Caenorhabditis elegans: one gene and its partner. The protein of the gene in region 2 interacts with the protein of the main gene of each other region in a pairwise test. Each region holds a gene or a part of one and is shown on either strand. Other genes may lie near its edges.

What was found.
Region 1: the proteins of lst-4 (region 2) and dyn-1 interact in a two-hybrid assay, tested with the Caenorhabditis elegans proteins (2 studies listed by BioGRID).

What each region holds. Positions count from the first base shown.
Region 1 is NC_003284.9:15,565,382-15,576,030, reverse strand, and holds dyn-1 (Dynamin), read right to left. Parts: upstream 7,111-10,649; coding exon 6,944-7,110; intron 6,879-6,943; coding exon 6,655-6,878; intron 6,474-6,654; coding exon 5,867-6,473; intron 5,822-5,866; coding exon 5,318-5,821; intron 5,271-5,317; coding exon 4,995-5,270; intron 4,461-4,994; coding exon 4,181-4,460; intron 4,077-4,180; coding exon 3,691-4,076; intron 3,518-3,690; coding exon of another isoform or gene 3,469-3,517; exon of another isoform or gene 3,436-3,468; intron 3,155-3,435; coding exon 3,082-3,154; downstream 1-3,081.
Region 2 is NC_003282.8:14,058,667-14,070,605, forward strand, and holds lst-4 (Sorting nexin lst-4), read right to left. Parts: upstream 9,805-11,939; coding exon 9,529-9,804; intron 8,364-9,528; coding exon 8,142-8,363; coding exon of another isoform or gene 8,067-8,141; intron 5,997-8,066; exon of another isoform or gene 5,994-5,996; coding exon of another isoform or gene 5,957-5,993; intron 5,736-5,956; coding exon of another isoform or gene 5,536-5,735; intron 4,762-5,535; coding exon 4,405-4,761; intron 4,365-4,404; coding exon 4,024-4,364; intron 3,959-4,023; coding exon 3,855-3,958; intron 3,800-3,854; coding exon 3,722-3,799; intron 3,663-3,721; coding exon 3,496-3,662; intron 2,937-3,495; coding exon 2,703-2,936; 3' UTR 2,339-2,702; downstream 1-2,338. Other genes in the region: Y37A1B.4 (Transposase), read right to left, coding at 935-936, 1,025-1,107, 1,219-1,388, 1,437-1,556. UniProt on the Caenorhabditis elegans protein: Involved in the signaling of vulval development by acting as a negative regulator of epidermal growth factor receptor (EGFR) signaling. Aids in phagosomal membrane tubule formation which is required for phagosomal fusion with endosomes and lysosomes.

The DNA of each region.
Region 1 (10,649 bases), on a different chromosome or scaffold from region 2:
AAAAATGATGGGTCTGGGACATCAGCCATACGAAATTTTTTTCAAAATTTTAAATAAAATTTAAAAAAATAATAAAACATTTTTTAGACTTATTTTCTATATATAATATAACTTTAAAGTAGGGATTAAAATTTTCAAACAAATGTTTTTCTTCCATTATTTTTGTAATAAAAATTGAAACATAGACAAGTCCAACCCAGAGCGAGGAAAAAAAATAATGATCGGGATAAAAAACGTTGTTTGCTGATTTGTTGGCGGATGACACAACACAACGGCAAGTGCTCGATGAGTATCGAAAATATGCTGCTGCTGGGTTGCTCCAACTACTGCTGAGGTTGTGCTGTGCTACTCCTGTGCCAGAAGAAACTGCGCCGTCATCACTTTACACACCATTCTTGCTGCCGAAGAGAAATGGCACTGCTGGATGAAGAAGAGGAAGAGAAGGCGGGTGCAGAAGAGGAGTAGATGAAAAGATTCGTTTCTCCTACTTTTTCAATCACCAATCGATAAGCAACTAGAGTCTCAAGTCCAAGAGTCACTTTAATGATGATGGCGAAACGACGCAAAAACAGGAGAAGCAAAGTTCAGAAGGAAATGGGGGGGATCAATCAAATGTTACTTTTGACCTGAGTTTTTTATACTGTTCAATGTATTTAAAAGTGTGACATGGGTTGGCACAGTGATAAGTATTCAAGAGAGTTTCACAATATGAACTCGTGGTGTCAGAGTGTCTCATTTCGGTTTGATCTACAAATATCTACAAAAAATGCGGGAGTTGAGACACAGAGTTCTTAACTGATTTAAATGGCTAAAAACGTGCTGACGTCTCATTTTTTGGGCAAAATTTGTAAGTCAAACCGTAACAACCTGACACCACGTGTATGAAGTATTTCAAAAAAAATGAATGGAATCTTGAACAAAAACCTTTGAAAACTTCGGTAAAATTGTTTTACCCTCAAAATTCGTGAAGGGAAATATTCTAATCTTCTGTTTTGTATCCAAAAACTAATCCGAGTTTTTAGATTCTTTCTCCTAGCCTTCGTTTTTTATCCATAGAGGTAATAAAAATGTTGCAAGCTTTTATAACAAAAAAAATATTAAAAGGTAAAATCATTCTTTTCTATGTATACTCAACGTGCCAGTTGTTGACTTATGACACATTTGAAATTAAATGGGTGCAAACAGACAACTTCTACAAAATTTTAAAATGTAGTGCTCGTGAAAAAGTTATTAAAATTTAAGAAATACAAAGCACCATTTTTTATTCTGATTCTGAAGGGTTTGAACGAATTCACAAGTTTCCTGAAACTCACAAACAAAGTATAATGTAAAATTGCAAAATCGTTAGTAGCCACACTGAAAGAGACTACATAAAATGAGAAACGGATATGGGAAATTTTCAACTTTTAAGCAGTCGTCATGTACGTGTTCGACATGTTCTTTTATGTTCCCGAACCATTAAGTGTCAGCAACTACGCTGATCAAATGAAACCTAAAGTCACTAACCGTCATCAATTGAAAAATTAGTTTTCATTTAAGTAATAAACTGGCTGGCGTTCAGTTGAACGGATGGTTCCATCAACAAGTATGCAATTTCGACGAGTTCTTTGGTATTTGATATCGTTATAACAAAAGTATGCCAGAATTGTAGTTCTGCGTTGACAACGATTCTGACGAGATCTAAAATTTTAAATCGGAAACATTTATTAAATTTTTAGTACCTACTCACCAGCGCCAAAAACATGTTACATTGCTACTTATTAGAGTTTGGCATATTGAGGGTTTATCTGCGAAGCTTGAGGATATGGATTAAAAAACTTCTATTTGTTTTAAGTATCAATTGAAAAGGTTCCTTTTTTTAAATGTACAAGCGCAGCAATACACATATAATAATTTTCAAATAAAGTTCTCGTTTTAGTACATGCTTTAAGTTTTAAATGGGTTCTTTTCAAAAGTGCCAAATTTTGTCAAGTTTTCAAAGTCTTTTTTCAAGTTTTTTTCAATGTCTTAGCAACCGGAATTTTCTAATATCTTTTCTTCATTGTGGATTTTTTAACCATTAATTGTTTAAGGTATATTTTCCGTTTATAGGTGCACCAATTCACTATCATTTGTTCATCTTTCGAAAGAAAACATATACCTACCAATCAATGAAGAAAATAAACGTAATAAATTACCAAAATGTGATTACAAATGATAATTATTTTCAAGATTGCTTCCGACCGCTGCAAACCAAACAATTTCACAAAAATTAGGGATTTTTCCAAGAATAAACAGACTTTCCTACATCTACATTTATAGGGCCAATGTTTTGCACAAAACTAATACTACATTTTTCCGTTTTAACTTTATTCCACTTTCACGAATAAATACAAATTCTACACAATACGTTTCAAAAATCTATAATTTAGGCTTTTTCAGATCATTCTTCTCAACGAGGGAAAACCTAGAAGAGCTTATAATCTAAGAAAAATCTATAAATATATTTACTTCTTATAAATATGGGCTTAAAATAATCAAAACTGGGATTTGTGGTGGAGGGGGAATTGGGTGGGATGAAGAAAGAACCTACAAATGCACTAAAAGAGTTTATACATTGGGTGGCCATAAAGAACATCTAAATAAATATAGGCAGACTGGGGGGGGGGGGTTATTGTAAGTGACAAAGTATTGCTATAGAAGAGTAGGAAAAATGTAAAGTTTCAAATCATAGAAAAAATAAAATCAATAAATTATTGAACAAAGTGAGTTTATAAAACATGCAAATAAAATTATTGGGAGGTGGGGGAAAAAAAGAGAAATAGGACTCGATTGGTTGTGGAAAATTCGCCGCTGACAAAGAAAAACACAGTTGGAACGGGAGAGAGAATGGAGAGGTGGATGAATTGACGCCTAGTTAGCGCTGGGACCAATGCAATCCTCAACGAGACTTGCTCAAAAGGTGGAAGAACTCGGGATATTGATTAATTTAAAAATTCTCAAAAAAAAAAAAGAAATGCTTGATAAAACGGGGGCATTGTACAATTACTATGGGAACGGTAATAGTATGACAAGTGAGCTAGGATGGAGATGTAAAAGCATTTAGAAAGGTCTCTTGGGGACTTGCGGGCGAGCTGGAATCTCTGGTGCTCCGTTGGATGGTGTCGGTACTCTTCTGAAAAAAAAAACAACGTTTCAGATTAATACTACAACAACAGAAAGCTAGACCACCATTGAAACATGCAAATAATGACGAAATTATGAAAAATTTGATGAGAAAGAAAAGTTAGCTTTTGCTTCTTTCTGTAGAAAAAATCACAGGAAGATAGTGGAATATAAAAATGTTCCGATAAAGTGCCAAGGGATCACAACACTAGATAGATGCTGCTAATACACATCACGATTACAACAAACAATTATACACTTCTCTGTACTGCTTCTTCGCGATTAACAAACCTTTGGTCAGTGGGGGAATTATTCACAACATTATTATCTAGGCGGTGCCATGTTGGGTGGTGGGCCGCCTGGTCCCGGACGCCTAGAGTGGTTGGTACACGTTAGTTTTAGGTTTTATTCTGACTTGTTGACAGTATTTTTTTTTCTAAATTTCAGAAAAAAAATTTTGACAGAAGAAAGAGTATGACGGACCAAAATAGGAAAGATTAGAAGAGATCTGGTGCTCTTTTCGAAAAAAAATAGGCATAAACTTACGTTGGAATCAACGGTGGGTACATGCCACCGCCGCCTCCTGGCGCACCTGGTGGTGGTCTCATGCCTGGTGGTGGTGGGGCACCGGGTCCTCCGCGTGGTGGCATTGGGGCCTGACGTCCGCCTGGTGGAGCAGGAGCCGGACGCGGCACCGGTGAAGGTCCAGATGGGTGTGGGCGGTAGTCAGACATCGGCAATGGCGGCGGCTGGTCGCCAAGGGTGCTCATGTTGACTTCAGAGATAATGCGGAGCGCCTCCTTGCAAGCATGGTACATTCGGAGCATCTCCTCGCGCTTCTGGGCTTCTATTTGAGATTCCTCCATGAGAGCATCAGTGTCGCCGCATTGGTAGAGATGGGCCAAAAGTTCATCTTTCATGAACTCACCTGTCTGAAATTATTGAGATATTTAGTTTAAGGTTTATTGTGTACGGTTAAAAAAACAGGCCGTGATGATATCACGATGAATCATTCAATTCTTTTAAAATCCCTCACCTGGTTAACAATCAAATGCATCACCGCCTTTGGAACCAGGTCCTTAATTGTCTTGGTAATGATTCTCATGTAGGAATCAACCAAATTACGGATTGTCTCCACCTGTCTCTCAAGTTGTGGATCAATCGAGGTATCCTCCATCTCTTGTTGGGACTCATCTTCCTGTGCCTTCTGCTTTTCTGGATAGACACCAGCACGCAAGAATGAAGCCTTCCACGCATCAATTTCGTCCAAATTGGTGCATCCCAACTCAAGCTGCTTGTAATCCTTGTAGATGTTCCTGGAATTCAAAGGGTTATGGGAGAAGCAAGTGCGTGAGGTCAAGGATACATGAGTTTACATCTTCATGCTGGTTCAGAATCTTTTATCTAAAAAGCATTTTGCATGCTGTATTTTTTTTTGTCTGAACTGAAACTGTCACAGCAGAGAAAGAGAAACAGGAAAAATAAGAAATTGACTACAGAAGTGAAAGGTGTTGGTTTCAAGGTGGATAAACTTTTCGGGTAAAAAAAATGAAAACAGATCACAAGGACGACAACACAAAGGTTTTTCTGTCTTACAAGTCATTAAAGAAGAAGAAGAAGTGAAGAAAGTAAACTATACACTCACCTCCTGCAAATTAATTTAATTTAAACAAATATTCAAAAAAAATTGATTTTGTGTGTGTGTGCGTTTTTTGTCTCGTTTCAAAACTCATGCTCAATTTAGTGTTCCTGTGTTTCTGCCTAATGAAACTCTAATGTGGAAAGAAAAGCGTGCGGGCTCTTGGAATGTTGAAATGGCAATCAAATCGCAAAATTCTTGAGTAACTCACTTTCCGTCGGGGTAGAACAGAGCAAACTTGTGGTTACGAGACATAAATCCACCCTCAATATCCTTCAGCTTGACACCATCCAATGGGAGCATGTACTTCTTCTCCTTCTCCTCATCATCTTTGTACCAACTCAAACTGTCCGACATGAGCACAAACCAATTGTCCTTGGAGCCACGCACAAACGATACGTTGCTCAGTGAGAGCCAGCCCTTTCTGATCACCTGGTTTCCAAGATTCTTCTTCGCTGATTGTCCTTGGGAGGCTTTTGCTTCAGCACTAAAAAAATAAAATTAAACATCTAAAAGCAAAGTCTAAACTCCTACTTGCTGAATCCAATGAAATCCTCATGGTTTGTGTTCATATAAGCGAGTTCGTAGTCAACAATGAGCCCAATTTGCTGCTTGGCAATTTGCTCACGTTCACGCATATGCGAGACGACGATTCTTTCCAGCTCGTCACGAAGACGTGGATATCTAGCCATAGTGTCAGCGCACTGTCTGATCACATTAGCCAACTCGTTGACCACCAGATCAACGCATTTCAACGATGGCTCCTTCAGACGGGTGATTTGCTTTTTGGCAATTGCCTCAAACGCCATATCCGGAGTGAAGAGACCGACGCGGATACCGTGAATGTTTCTGATGGCATACTGGATTTCTTTGCGCATTTCTTTCTCGTCAATTTCCATTTTAACAATCTCAAATGGGAAACGCTCATGGAAAAGCCGATTGATACGGGCTCCTCCACTGAGCTCATTGGTTGAAACCAGCTTTGCAGAGGAACCTTCAATGGAGCGCTCAATGTCAGCATTGAACTGGGTAACCATTCTGCAAAAATTTTGTTAATAAAGCACCTCCATTGAAATCACTTACTGCAAAAGAGCCTTGGTCTTGCGGCCTGGATCATTTGGCTGGTAGTTCTTGTACTCGGCCACATCCTTTTCCATAGCAAACATCTTCTTTTGAAGACTATCACGAAGTGTTGGCAGTGTATCACGGATATGATTGGTGAGCTGTTGATTAAGAGTGTGTTGAAGGTAGCTTGTTCCCAACCGATCAGCCATATGTCGGTAGGATGGGTGTGAGATGAAGAACTTTCTCTCGGCGTCCAAAGCAGCTCTAATATCCTTGCGACCGACAATATCCTTCTGCCCACGATTGACAACTCCGACGTAGCCACGACGAAGTGTGAACAGCTTGTTCTCGAGGATCTCGCGAGCATCGGTTCCCTCGTCCATCAAGTCAAGTTTGGTGAGGACTCCAATCGTGCGAAGACCCTGTGGATCGACTTCCTTCGCAAGTTTCAACGCATCCGAAGTGGCGAGATCGCTGTTGGCCGGAGTGACGGCAAGAATGAGGCAAGTCTCACGGTTGATGAATGTGAGAATCATGTCACGGATCTGTTGCTCAATATCTGCTGGTTGATCTCCGACGGGCACTTTTGTGAGACCGGGCAAATCGATGAGTGTCAGATTTAGAACTGAAAAATTAAGTATGAATTAATTAAAATGTGTGAATTTTTCCAGTGATTTTGTGCAACTCACTGTAAATTTATGAAATCTTTAATGCAATTTAAATTTTAAAAAAAGTTGCATAAGTCTGGTTTCAGATGCTCAAATCATCCAGCGCACTTGCGTTTCTGTGAGTTTCTAAATGCTTACCATTTGGAGAAAAGACACGCAAGTTGATTGGATGTGGACTGATTCCCTTATTCTGTCCAGTGACACGATCAGTCTCATCCTCAATCTCTTTCCGAACTGCATCAAAATCCACAAAGCGATGACCCTTCTTGTGTAGGAACTCGGCGTACTCATTGCGATCTTGAATAAGCTGCAAAATAAGTGGACGACGTGTTACGATTCCTGATCCACGTGGCAAGAAGTCTCTGGAAAGGAAAAAAATTGTGATTTTATTTCGCAAAGTTATGTTTTTTTTCTTCTTGTGACTCACTTTCCGACAAAATTCTCCAGCACCGACGACTTTCCAGCGGACTGTCCTCCGACGACGGCGATCTGTGGAAGTTCGAAGCTGACAGATGTGCCCAGCTGGGAGAAGGCGTCCTGGACACGATTGATCACAGGGATCAACGCCTGCATTCCCTGGTTTTGCCACGACATGGCTGATCCTGGTGGTTATACGCTGAACTACCTGAAAATCGATTTTTTTAGTCGATTAATGATATGAGGAAGAGCATTGAGAAGATTTAATGGAAAAAGCACGATTTCGCAATGAGGTTTTCGGAGGTTTAATAATTATGTTTTAGAATGAAATTTATCACCTTCAAGAATATAGAATATAAAATTAGAAAAAAAAATCCTCAAATCGCATTTGAAAAAACAAAATCAACAAATATTCAGAATCATTGTCGGCAAAACGGTGTTGAATGTTTGGAAAACAAGAAGAAGAAACGATCGGCGTACAAAAAAGCGCGGAGAGACTCGGAGATGCAGAGACTAAAAGTGAGGGTGAGGCAAACGAAATGACCGCAGTGAGTCAGCCTCGCAGTCAGTACTGCGGCGGGGAGAGAAAAAGGCTTGGCCAGCGACGGCGGAGAGCGTGCCAACACACACTCATCGCAAAACGCGTCAGCAGTAACCACGACAAGAAATTTCTTTTCACGAGGAATTTTATGAAGAATTTGGAGGCTTGTTTAATGAAAATATTGGAAAAAAACAGAAGGTTGTTAGATGCAAAAAAAAACTAAACGGGACACATTTGAAAAAGAAAATCCAAATAAGTAGTGGAGGAGAAATGAAAAATGAAAAAGTGGAAAACAAAGCGAACAGTTTTGGATTGCCGAAAACCAGAATTTGGCGGGTAGATCAATTCATTGTAAATGTTGTGAAATAGTGGTGTGGAGAGGGTGGCAGCCGGCCACCCTTCTGTTTGTAGTCTAACCACCTGCGTCTCTCAACTTACCTGCTATCTCGCTGGAAACGTGTGAATGGAAGTTAGTGAGCAAATAACATCGTTTCTTTAATAAAAAGAGGCAGACTTTAAAAATTTTTTTTATTGAGAATGGAAATGAGATGGATGACCTTTGGAAATTATGCAAAATAAAAATAAAATAAAATATTTCAAAATTGTGAAACTTTTACAACAGTCCGATCAGTACCGTAGGAAGAAAAGAAAAATCGTCATCTTAGCAAATATCGAGTCACAATTGTGACCAGAAATCATGATTAGTAAGAAGGTTTTTCCACGTTCTATTTGTTTATTAGAGACGAGGAAATTCATTTAGTCCAATTTGTTTAAACAAAATATGGAATTCATTATGATATTATAATTTGTAGAGAATTGTCGTATGTTCATGATTGTTAAATTGTATCACAGTTTTTCTTCTTTTTTTTTCAAGACAGGGTAGTACTGCAAATTTTTTTGGCAGATCTTTAAACCCGCCCGATTCGAAATAATCATCAAGCTCTAACACAGATAGATTGAACATATATATATGCATATCATAAATATGAAAAATATACTCATTTTCATTTAAAAAGTTGGGATTAAAAATAACGGCTTCAAATACTCCCTGAAAATTGTCACTTGCAGTAAAAACTGATGTTCGATTTTCTGACCAAAGGCGATTCTCTAGCAGGATTCAAGGTTTCTTTTCAAGTTTTATAGCAGAAACACAACATTTCAACCAGATATTACTTCAAAATTTTATTTCTGCTAATTTGGAAACTTGGATATTAATTCCGAAATTAACAGATTTGTAGGTTTCCAAACAAATTCCAGTTACTTCCTATTAGAAAATTTTACTAAGAACCAGCGGTGTGTAAACAAATAACGAATTTAACATTCCCATACTACTCCTGATAATGAATTTGTGACTAATCAGTTGATGTACAATGATTTCATATGCTCTGAAATTTATAAAACATTTATAAAACATGGTTTAAAAGTATTGAAAATCTAGCAAAATAGCTCAATTGATTTTTTTAATTGTAAAGCAAAACAGAACATGGAATAAATAACAGCTGAGTTTTTTGTTGTCCCTTCACTCCATAGCGAGCAAAGCAGGCTGAGGAGAATATCAAGGAAGAAAAAGAAAACAAAAACGGAAAACGAAGAATAAGAATAAGAAAAAGAAAGAAAAACGAAGCAGAAAGAAGGAAAAAAGAAAAAGGAAGGAGGCGTTTTCGATTAGTCGATATTCTGCTATGTATGTGTGCTGCGCACTGCTACTCGGCAGGGGCCCCCCCCCCCCGCGCGCACATTTTTCGCGTATGTACATATTCTCGCACACAGGGAGAGCAAAAGCAGAAGAAGAAAAGCAAGACGTGTGTGTTAGAGCTCCCGACCGCAGTTTGAAGCTCTTTCTGCCCTCTTTCTCTTGGCTCCACAAAAAAAAACGCGGAGCACTGACGGCGCCGATGACGACGTCGTGGTCCGGGAGGCTTGCTAAGCCAAACTCACAGAATAAACGACAAAAGGAAAAGGAAGAGAAGAAAGTTTTTGTTTTCGTTCCAAATCTAACCAGTGTCTAGATATATATTTTGTTAACAAAGTATTTGAAATTGCATAGTGACGGACGGATAGCTGGACTGAAAAAAAACTGGAAAAAACAAATATTTTTCGACATACAATTATTTTCAAAGCTAAATTTACACAATATGCAATAGGAAATTTTCAAATATCTATTGAAAACTGTGCCATTGAGTTCTAGAACACTGCTCACAAGTGTGTTAGTATCAAAAATTTTGAAGAGACCTCTGCAAGACAACATTTTTATAAATTAAGCGTTATAAAAACCACATTCACATTCATAGAGCCATGAAATGTGCTTAACAATAATTTTTGTATTCTCACATCCTTGTAAAACAAACTGTCATCTATACTTAAAAGTGGAGTAGCGCCACGGGGGAAAGTGTTAAAAACTACTTCTATGGTGCCAAACTAACCGAATATCACAATAAAACTTTTCAAAAATATTTTGAAAATTTTTTATTTACTGTCAAAATGTGACAATTACAAAATTTTGGCAATTTTCCTAAACTTTGACCGGATATTTTGAAAAATCTAAAATTTTTTGGAGTGTTTTATTATGATATTCGGTTGTTTTGGATCAGTATAAGTGTATTTAGACAAAATCCCCACTGGCGCTACTCCACCTTTAAACGCGCTATCCATTCTGGTTAAGGATACCAGGAGCAGTTCATGTTTATACATTTAAGACTCAACTTAGAGTTTGAAATTCAACAAAACTGGTTTGAATTGGATTTATATACTCAATTTCAAATGATGCTATTCTTGAATAAGAATAAATTTTGAATCCTAAAAAAACGTCAAAAGCAATCGCTGGAAACGAAAACTCCATGGAAGTTCTGAGGCTTGTATCCAGAGGGACGCCGTAGTCGTCTAATTGGCAAAATTTGATTTATTTCAAATATCTCCTTGCCTTCACGCAAAAACAAAAAATGCTTAGCGAAAAAAAAGAAGCAAAATTTGGAAAATATAAAGCTTTAATTTTTGAACATTTGTCCATGTTTTATATTGACAAGATGGAAGGACATTTGGAAGCAGCTGTCCTGTGGCATTGGGATAAATGCTGCGGAATTAGAACAGGTGTTGGAAAATTAAAAAAAAATCGAGTATTTCAAAAGTTGAATGTTCACAATAAAAGTAATCAATTTATAAATGTTCTTTATTCGAA
Region 2 (11,939 bases):
TTAAAATGAAAGACAATAAATTCAAATGACCTACAACTTTTCTGAATATCTCAAAAATGAAATCTCAAAATAGATGATCACTCGAACTAAATGCCCAGAAATTTTATTTTTGTTTTTAAATGAATTTTTAAAATGAAAGTCAATAAATTCAAATGACCTACAACTTTTCTGAATATCTCAAAAATGAAATCTCAAAATAGATGATCACTCGAACTAAATGCCCAGAAATTTTATTTTTGTTTTTAAATGAATTTTTAAAATGAAAGACAATAAATTCAAATGACCTACAACTTTTCTGAATATCTCAAAAATGAAAACTCAAAAAAGATGATCACTCGAACTAAATGCCCAGAAATTTTATTTTTGTTTTTAAATGAATTTTTAAAATGAAAGACAATAAATTCAAATGACCTACAACTTTTCTGAATATCTCAAAAATGAAATCTCAAAATAGATGATCACTCGAACTAAATGCCCAGAAATTTTATTTTTGTTTTTAAATGAATTTTTAAAATGAAAGACAATAAATTCAAATGACCTACAACTTTTCTGAATATCTCAAAAATGAAAACTCAGAAAAGTTGATCACTCGAACTAAATGCCGAGAAATTTTATTTGTATTTTTAAATGAATTCCAAAATATATTTTGTATTTAAGTGTGCAACAAAACTTCTGAAAATTTTTTTCAGTGTTTTGATGGGGCGGAGGAAAGCAAATTTTGAATCGAAAAGAAATGATAAATTTCAGTTTCTGCGTACTTCTGGTAAATTTTTGAAGCAATTTCAAACTTATCTTTTAAAAATTGTCTCCTTCTCGCATTCCCTCCTGCTGCTGCTCGTTTGTCGACAAGTCCTCCACGATCCTCTCAGCTGCTGCGGATCACTCCTTCCAAATCATCCATCAACTTCCTTCGTCCATGAACGACATCAGATGCTCCTGAATTAATAAATTATTAAATAAATCATTTGTACGAGATTTTAAGAAAAAATAACAGCCGTGTGAAGTGAACGCTGTTGAAACTCACAATGAAATCGATAAAAACCTTGGTGCTTTTGGGGCAAGATGTTTCCATCACACTGAATCATCACCAATATGTTATTCCATAATCTGAAAATAATGGAATTTTAAAAGTACAAAAAAACTGGAAACGTGGTGTTCTAGTTTTAAAAACATCACATTTCTTTCTGTTCATTTTCAAATCCTCAAACTTCAGCTTACATCGTTACTCCAATCGATTGACGTCGAATGCGTTCATCGGTGCTCAAAAGTTCCAGAGGTTGAACGTGGATTTGTTCCAGCCAAACAAGCACCCTTCCACCTGTTGCACTATACAGTCCAAATTCCGCTTTGACCATATCAGCAACCAATTCATATTTCCAATGCTCTTCCTGAAATAATCTTCAATTCACAAACTTCTAGGTGTTAGATAAACTTACAAGTCTTGTTTTGGTACCAAATTCGGAGTTTTTCTTCTCAATCTCTTTTCTCTCGAATTCGTTTTCTAGACCTCGAACAAACGACTGCAGTTCCAAGTACTTGATACCAAATTGCTGCATTCTAAATCTCGAACAAACGACTGCAGTTCCAAGTACTTGATACCAAATTGCTGCAGGTTACAAACAGCATATCCGGTCCTCTTAAAATCACACGACTTGGACCATTGTCAGACGGGTTGAATTTGTCGAAACCTGGGGAGATGTCCGTTGTCAAGGTGTTAGGAGGTCGGTGGGGAAGATTCCTGTAATAAAAAATTCAATACAAAAAAATGGCGAGAGGTTCCACTGTTATCAACAGATTTTTAGGGTTTTTCTAGTATCGGAATTGAAAACAAAATACTTACTTGTCTTGCTTCATTTCACAGGAAGCTCATCAAGGCGGAACCCGTTAAACGTCGGAGATACAGCTCCATCCCACACCGTCAGTCGGAGCAGGAAACTACTGTTCCGATGCTCGATTTTCTCCACTCGCTGCACACTCGTTGCCACCATCTCCTCGAATTGTCCAACATCATGGCAGCATACCGGCAGACCCTCCGTCGAAAAACTGTAGACTGATCGTTTTGACGAAAACTACAAGCTTATATACCAAGCCTTATCAAGATGTACTAATTAAAGGTCATTGAAGTTCACTTTTTTGAAAAATTATTTCCGTGTAATTAATTGATATTAAGTTTCATCGAAATTTGAGTTTTAAACGTGATTTACGTATATCTCTTTTTTTGGAAAAATTGAAGGAGGTCCCTATTTGGCTCACGAGATGCGTTATCCCGGTGGAGATTGTACATCGGATATTTGGATTTAATTTTGTTTTTTTAAAATGTTTTGCATAAAAAATTAGCTTGTACATATTCATCACAATTCATTCAGACTTTCAAAAAAAAAATTGAAAGGATTTTTCAACTCATAATGCAACTAGAAAAACGGGGGAAACCAGGCGAATAAATATTCAAAAAGGGGATTTTTTTCAAATGTGAACGAAGCAATCATCATATATGGTACAAAGAATGTGGCGAGTTGAAATCACGGGAATTTAGTAGAATTGCACAAAAAATTATGGATTAGAAAGTAGGAAGAAAATATATGAACATTCGGAATTTGACTCAAAAAAAAAGAAGCTAGCTCGATTTTAATGATGGGGGAAATTATGGGGGGAAAACGATTTCTGACACAAAAAGGCAATCAAATAATAAAAATCAATAAAAATCAATCATATCTAGCGGCTAATGAAGTCAGCTTGGTCGCCACTTCCTGATAAAACATTGCTTGTTTCTTCAAATATGTGCCCATTGTCGATTTCATATCCTCCACTTTCTCTGCTGTTTGATGTTGAACTTCAGCAATTACAGTGTAGCTCATCGCATCGATTCTTTGCTTCATCTTTTCAGCCTCGGCCGACGAGAGACGTCCTTCGCTGTCACGGAACTTTTGAACAGCTTGCTGGAAAATTGTTGGGTTTTGAATGTTTTTAGGCTTTTGCCACGGGCTTTCAGATTCTGTCATATCTTGAAATGGGAGGGGTTAATGACCGCGACGCAGGTGCGAGCGGCGCGGCTCGATCGAGAAAAGTTTATTTTATTTTTTGCCCAGAATGCGTGATTTTTCATTTAAATCTTCAAAATTTTCGATTTTTTCAGAGAATAAAGGTTTTTTAAATCTATTTTTACCAAGTTTTGTTTATTTTTTAAACTTTTCCTTAAAAAAAGAAGAAATTGTTAAAATTTAAAGATATTTTTCGAAAAAACGGAAAAACGAACATTTTCAATTTATTTCTTAAAAATTTAATATTTTTAGATTTGTTATAATTCGAAAATTTGACAACCTCCATGTAAACGCAAAAAAAATCCAAAAAATGAAGGAAAATCACGCATTCTTGGCAAACGTCTAAAATAAACATTAATTCGAGCCGCTCCGCACGCGGCTGCGTCGCGGTCCTGGCAGAGTTTCCCAACCCTCAAAAACTCTTCCACTTCAGGATATAAGGGCCTCTGTTCAGTACCTTGTGCACTTGAATAATATCCGGCACATTTTGCACTGTTCCCTTATACGAATAAAGGTTCTCAAGCACTGGTTCCATGTCATTCTTCGTGTGCGCATCGAATACTTGCCCAATTTCATGATATTCTGATGCAGTGTAGGCGAGAGCTTCTGTCAGGCGGCGACTGGCTGAAAAATTAGAATTTTTAAATTTATCCAAGAACTTTTAAAAATCCAAAGATTCATACCAACGGTCTCATCAATCTCAAAAGATTGCTGAAGTGTCTTGAACGCGCTTCCCATCTTTTGCCAATTTTGTTTTACCGCTGAAATTTGATTTTTTTAATTTAAATTTTTAAAGCTCGAAAATTTCCAACATACGTCCAGCGAAGACCTTCTGGAACATGTTCATTCTCTCCTGCATCACACGCATCGCTTCTTCCGATGTTTTGACGCTCCGTTGGAATCGTTCAACTTGCATATCGCTGGAAACATGTAGGATTACGCAGGATTATCAAACTTTCTGCGTAGAATTCTATTAGTTTCTTACACATTATTCGGATCCAATGGTTGATGTGGAACAGTGATACAGTTCAGGAAAGCTCCACCAATGTATTCATCCTTTTCAGCTCGCCGCTTCCCATTCTTCCAATCTTTTTCGTCGGTGCAACTGATAAAGTGGAGCCAAACTTCCGACTGACTCAACACTGGATGCCTACAAATCTTGTTGACCCATAACTGAAGAATGTGCTTCCGATGATCAATAAGATCCTCCTCGTATCTTCCGGCGACCTGTTTCTCTGGCAACGGTGGAATCGGAATGAGCACATATTTAGCCGATAGCTGCTCGTGGAGCCAATCGAAATGCTTGTAGCGACGGGATACCTGACGCTAGCAAGCGGTTAGTAAGCGTCGAAATCTACAAATTTACCTGAATATTAGTCAAACTCGACGTAATCGAATATGCGATGAAGCTCTTCAGCCCTTTCAGCTTTGACTCTTTCTTCGGTTTATCCACTATACACGTGTAGTACTGTTGAATCGGTTTCCATTGAATAATTCCATTGTTCATCACAACTTCATGTCGTTCACTAATCTGTGAGGTGGTCTTTGATTCACCAATCACGTACGCTTCGACTCCGGACTTTACAAAATTCGAGAATCGATTGATGTTCTTGTTGACCTTATTGGATCCTCGATCAGGTCCACCGTGTTCCGAGTGGCTACGGCTGAGGTCACGACGGGAGTTCGAGCCGATCGAGGATTGAACGTTGGGCCGAGTTGGTTCCTGGAAATCGGAATTTTTTGATTTTTTTTATTTTATAACTTTTTGGACACAAATAAGGAAAACATGCATGCGTTACATAACAACCTCAATAGTTAAGGAAGCTTGATACTTTAAGCCAATCAGAACAACGAGCAGTCCCGTACGCCTCAAACAACACGTGGAGTCAGAAAGTCCCGCTTCGCTCTGATCTACGAAAAATGCGGGAAGTGAGACGCAGACATCTGATTTCGCATGGTTAAGAGTGTGCTGACGTCACAATTTTTTTGGGCGAAAAATTTCCGCATTTTTTGTAGATCAGACCGCATTGAGACCAGGGGTGAGCGGCAATCGGCGATCGGTGATCGGCGATTTTCGTGATTTTTCGGCGATCGGCGATCGCCGATCGCCGATGGAATTTTTCAATAAATTCATCTCGATTTTTAAAATCTCATGTTTTTTTTAAACGATTGTTTTGTTGTTTTTAATTTTTTTTTTGAGTAAATGTTAATTTTTCGTCGCATTTCCTTACCAAACAAAAAAACGGAAAGGTGTTTTGACCGAATAACTCGGTTAAAATAGCCGATCGGCGATCGGCAATCGGCGATCGCCGAAATTTTTCGGAAATTGGTGATCGCCGATCGCCGAAATTTTTCGGAAATTGGTGATCGCCGATCGCCGAAAAAAAAAAAGTTTGGGCGATCGGCGATCGCCGATCGCCGATTTTTTTGGGCGACTGCTCAGCCCTGATTGAGACTTTCTGACACCACTTGAAACAACTTATCGAACAACCCGAACCTTATTCTGATCGTGGTGAGACCGATTCGAGCTCAAACACGAGCTCACCGACTTCTCAACTCTCCGTCGACTATCTCTCTCCTCACTGAGACGTCTCCGTCGGGCGGTGCTATCTTGCCTACTCAAGCGCTTTTTGGTGCTCGTGGAGCGGGTAGACGAGCCCACACTACCGTTTCTTTTGCTAGAGGGGTAGGCACCGTCTGCAATGAGATGTGTGAGCGTTGTTAAAGCCACTATGCTTTGAAAATCTTGTAATTGCACATTCGCGGGAAATGAGAGATCGAAAAGAGAGAAACAGAGAAGCCACGTGGCTCCACGTTTTTTCGTTGCGAGGAACATCATCTCTTCTTCAATATCTAACCTTCCAACGAATGTGTAATAGATGTCCGAATGCTTCGCCGACAAGAACTATTCTAATAACCTTGCTGACTACTCCTCGTCTCGTCGTCAGTGGACATATCCGTTCGAGACCCACTTGCACGATGATGATGATGACGAATCGAGTTTTGATAATTCACAACTTGATCATGGACGGACAGACGGTGTTCCTTAATCAACGGATTACAAAAAGTGCTAGAACGCTGAACGTTTCCCCTAAAATATCTAAAAACGAACCCACGACGGTGAGAACGAGACGCTCGCCCTATGAAATCCACGAATTTCAGTAATAGGAATAGGACGGTTATAGAAGAAGACGTCGGCGTCCGATTGACGCAGTCGACGCATTTTTGCATGTATATATATATATGGATATATGTATATATATATATATACATATATATATATATATGTGAGTATGGATATCCAATAGGATCACCAAAAAAGACTCAACACATGATGATAGTTTTCGAGAGGCGTCGGGTGGCGACAGAGCAAAAATGAGCTGGTGGAGAGTGCTGGGGGATTCTCAATAGCAGCAATCAGGAGAGATGCTTGCACATATAAAGCGCGGGGTGTTGCAAAGAGCAGTTGAGAAGGGATATCCCTATTTTTGAGAAGAAAATTTGGGTTTTTTTTTTGTTTTTCAGGGTGATTTTTTAATTGTATGCGTAGTATTAATTTTGAAACCGACATGAAAAGGTGCTCCGCCCCCGAACCATAGGTCTCGTTAGGTATTGGTGTCAAAGTGTCTCACTTCGGCGTGATCTACAAAAAATGCGGGAATTTAGACGCAGATTTTTCAGCAAATTTCGTATGGTTAAGAGCGTGCTGACGTCGCATTTTTCTGGGCGAAAAATTCCCGCGTCTTGTAGATCAAACCGTTATGGGACAGCCTGACACCCCGTGTATTTGGCGTTAGGTATCAGTTTCGCCAATTTTTGAGAATTTTCCGTTGTTTTAATGATTTTTTTGAGCACGTTTAATACCCAACGAGACCTATTTTATTGGGGGCGGAGAGTTTTCATTTGCAGTGGAGCGGTGTGTCCCAATACAGTTTGATCTACAAAAAAATCGTGAATTTTCTCCCAGAAAAATTACGACGTTAGCACGCTATCAACGAAATCAGTTGAAATCAGGGGTGTGCGGCAAATCTCAAAATTTGCCGAGCTCGGCAAATTCGGAAAATCTCTTTTTTTCAATATTTGCCGAGCACGGCAAATTCGGCAAAGTTGCCGAGCTCGGCAAATTCGGCAAATTCGGCAAACTCGCCGTGCTTAACAAACTCGGAAAAATTTGATATTTTTTTTATGTTTTTTGGAGCACCAAAACTACTGAATTCTTAACACACATCTGGTTTCTGAATAAGTTCCGCGTAGTATGTCTGTTTAAGCATCAAAATAGCTCAATTTTGTATCATTTTACTAAATTTTTGGCTAAAAAATCAATAGTTTTAGTCAAAATTGTACTGTCAAATTTTTGACGTGTGCGGCAAATTTCGAAATTTGCCGAGCTCGGCAAATTCGGCAAATCTACTTTTTTGAAATTTGCCGAGCTCGGCAAACGGCAAATTCGACAAATTCGGCAAATTTGCCGCACACCCCTGGTTGAAATGTCTACGTCTCACCTCCCGCATTTTTCGAAGATCAAAGTGCGAAATGGGACTTTCTGACTTCACGTGTATTAAGAAAAAACCTTTGAATGCTAGAGTTAGTTGGAGTAAAATTAATAAAACCTATAAACTTAAAAAAATTCTAAATAAAAAATCCCAGTTAAATAAAAATGTCCTTTACATTTTGAAACGACGGCGACTGATTAACTTGTAGATGATCTAGAGCGATAAAGCTCGAGGATCGTCCACGAGCAAACAGCATTCGCGAAAATTTCAGCAGCAGCAGAAGTTGTTGTAGTAGTAGCAAATAAATCTGGATGACATTTAAATAGTCGCAGCCGACGACGAAGAGAGAGAATTTCGAATGATTAGAAATGAAATGTCCGAAGAGAAGAGGGTCCAGCGGCGACGGAGTGGAGAGACGACTTCTACCGGAAACCAAGTTGCGGCGGCGACGACAACGATGTCGTTTCCCGGCGATTTTTGAGGAGGATGACTATTCTTTTTGGACTTTTCGTTTGGTCTTTTAGGATATATAGATTTAGGAGTTAGAGGGTATAAATAGGACGGACAGAAACTGGACAATCAAAAAATTAAAATAAAATTTTAAAAATACCTGCTCATCATCCTCATCCGTCCATTCATCGTCAAAATCATCATTCTGTGATGGATATGAAGATCTAGTGACTTCCGGTACAGATGGCGTTGGCTGATGATGATGTTGGGCTCCGTAGGATGGTGGAGCAGCAACTTCTGAAGCGCCTCCCCAATCATCAAAAGGACGCGATGAGGCAGCTGGTGGACCGCTTGAAGTTGGTGGGAGTGGTGGTGGTAGGACCTGGAATTTTTGAGTATTTATGAAATTGTTTAAAAAGTTAGAAAATTGAAATGGGATCTGTGTGTCATGTGGTCCCATCACGGATTGATCTACAAAAAATGCGGGATTTTTTGCCCGACAAAATGTGACGTCAGCACGTTTTTAACCGTGCACACGTGGTGTCAGGCTGTCTCATTGCGGTTTGATCTACGAAAAATGCGGGGATACTTTTCAAGAAAAATTGTGACTTCAGCACGCTCTTAACCATGCGAAATCAGATGAGATGTCTGCGTCTCTTCTCCCGCATTTTCGAAGATCAAAGCGAAATGGTACTGTGCGAAATCAGTGGATAACTCTACGTCTCAATTCGCGCGTTTTTTGTAGATCAACGTAGATCAAGCCGGAATGGAGCACTCTGGGAGCTACAGTTATTACGTATACGTCACAAGAAAATGGGTCTCGCCACGCTGACAACTGTAAATCGACACGAGTAACAGAAACTTGTTGTCAGCGTGGTGAGACCCGTAACCAACTACTAGAGCTCTATTTTGTGATATGGTACGGTAGGAGTACTGTAGGATTACTGTAGAATAACAAAACAAATCTGTTGTGAGCTTTTGTGGAGTCTCCAGCGGTGTCCTATTTGAGGATCGACCTCATTAAGTTTGGTAGCGAACACATGGTGTCAGAGTTTCCCATTTCGGTTTGATCTACGTTGATCTACAAAAAAAATGCGGGAGAAGAGACGCAGAGTTCTCATCTGATTTTGAATTGTAAAGAACGTGCTGACGTCACATTGTTGGGCAAAAAATTCCCGCATTTTTTTTGTAGATCAGACCGTAATGGGACGGCCTGGCACCATGTGAGCGAATGTAAATTTCAAATTGTCAAAATTTACTCTGTTTGGCACCTACACGTGGTGCCAGGCTGTCCCATTACGGTTTGATCTACAAAAAATGCGGGCATTTTCGCCCAAAAATATGTGACGTCAGCACGTTCTTAACCATACGAAATTAGTGGAGAACTCTGCGTTTCTTCTCCCGCATTTTTTGTAGATCTACGTAGGTCAAACCGAAATGAGACACTCTGACACCACGTGCACCTATGAATTTGCCTCAGAATTTCGAGGAATTTCTGAGAGGTTTGGAAAGAATCGAAAAGATTATCTTCTACACAAAACCCCTACACTCTTCGATATTGCTCCACTTTTCTTAAAACTGCTCTTTCTAGACGAGTGCTTCCCAGTGGAATGCTGTTCATCCTCTTCCTCCATCAGAATAGGTGGCTTCATCTTATGCGGTGAAGCAGATGTGTCTTGTTTGATGAGTGTACTACACGTGTGTCGTCGAAGCATCTGTTTGCGACGACGTTCGAGAAGCTGCCGATGAGCATCTTCAGATGAGCCGCCCGGTGGTGTTGGGTAGTTCTCAACGGCCTTTCGAAGACTCGATGTGAAGAGCATTCGCGAAAAGATCGAAAAGTCGGATAAAAAGTAGGAAATCTCTTGGCAGAATGAGTGGAATATAAGACGAATCAGGTATATAGAGCTTCTTTGAGAATCTACTTATTTTGTTTTCAAGTATCTGGACCGCCGTCTTCAAGTGAGTAGGAGGATCCGAACGTCTCCAGGGACCCGAGGAAAAACCAATTTCAAAATAGTTTTTCTTTCTTTTTTTTTCTATTTTGTTCCAGTCTCTTCCGCTTCATCTCACTCCTCTTTGTTGCGTTCTTCTTCCACCATCTTTTTTATTATTCAAATTTCATGGGCTTTTACTCATCTTTCTCTCCGTTTTGAATATTTTTCGGAAACAAGCATCAGATTCAGCGATTTCTAGAGGGTTCCAGCAGCTCAAAATGCTGATGAGAAGGCAATTTCAATCATTTTGATGCTTTTGGCTCACCACAACCAATTTAGATGCTCCCCGCAGAAATGCACACAACGAAGACACACAACGAAGACACACACACACACACACAAAATACAATCAAAACCGGAAATAGATGAGAAAGTGGGTTAACTAGAAGACAAATGGGTTACCGGTGGCGGACGAGAAGCTTGATAGGGAGTTACGTAGGATTCGGGAAAGAGTCCGACGGATCCACGCACGTTTCGACCTTCTATCCATCCTCCGTCGATGTTCTGAAATAAAAACTCTTGATTTTGCTTTAAATTATAGAAAAAAATGGGCTGAAATGATCGAATAATAAATTCTTTTTGTGATTTTTTTTCCATTTTTGGGTAAATTCTTTCGTTTTTCTTATTTTTTTAAAGAGATATTTGAATTAAAACGCCATTTATCAGTTTTTCAGACATTTTTCCGCGGAGAAAACTTGTTCTCCGGACGAAAATTGGCCTAAAAATCAGGAATTTCATATATTGATAAGAAATTTTCAGGAAAAACGCCTGGAAATCTGACAAAACCAATGAATTTACACCATTTATCAGTTTTTTTTTGTTTGACAAAATTATGTAAATTATCAACGTTTGGCCAGATTTAAAGTTTCTGCGTATTTTGTTCGAGGAATCGAGTTTTCGCTTCGGAAAAATGCCTGAAAAACGAATAATCAGTGTTTTAAAACAAAAATTAAACAAAAAATTAAGAAAAAACAGATGAATTTCGCCAGAAAACGGGAAAACGCCGATTTATTCACGCGGGAATTCAAAATTAATTTAGCCGATTGTTTCATTTTACGATTCAAAAAATCCTCGAACAACTCTGTTCCACCTGCTCAAAAAGCCTCTTACCTCTCGAATAACCGTCAAAACTTCGCCAGCCGAGATTGACAGTTCGCCTGTGTTTGGTTGACTTTGAAAATCATACTCGGCTTTCACCTGAGCCATTTCTCTGAAAAAAATGTTAATTTTTAATTTAAAATATTCCAGAAAAAGAGTAAAACTGAATTTTCAGCAAGGTTTTTCAGTTGATAAGTGTCAAAAAAAGCGAGCGAGCAGAGAATATGAGAAATCAATAAAAAATAAACAATGAGTCAGCCAATATTTCAATACACAACGCGGCAACTCGTGATGACTGGTGAAATTGGGAAGTTTTTTAGGGAGGAGGAGGAATAGGTGTCAAATTTCCATAGGCATATGATTAAAATTGTTGAATTTTGGGTGGGAAAGTGCATTTTTGGGTAAAAAAAAACACTGTTAAAAGACAAAATGCAGCAATTTGAAGAATTTACAGAGTGCTTTTTCGTTATTTTCACAGAAAAAACTTTAGAAAGGGTCCAGTTCAATTTAATTTTAGAAAAATGGGAAAAATTCGCATAAAAACCTGACAAAATTAACCTTTATCGCTCGAAAATAATATTTTTTTTCGAAATAAATTCAAATATTAAAATTCCCGCCGCAAAAAGTTGTCAATGGAGCGCACTTACAGCCAAAAATTGTCATTGGAGCGCGCTTACAGTAAGCAATTTTTTATTATTTTTTCAACTAATTTTCAAGAATTTTTCTTTCACAGTGATATCAATCTATGATTTTATACTTTTTTATAAGAAGATCAGCAATTTATTATTGACCACGAAATAATTATAATCTTCCTTATAGACTTTTCTAGAATTAATGCGATTATTCCGAAAACACAACACACA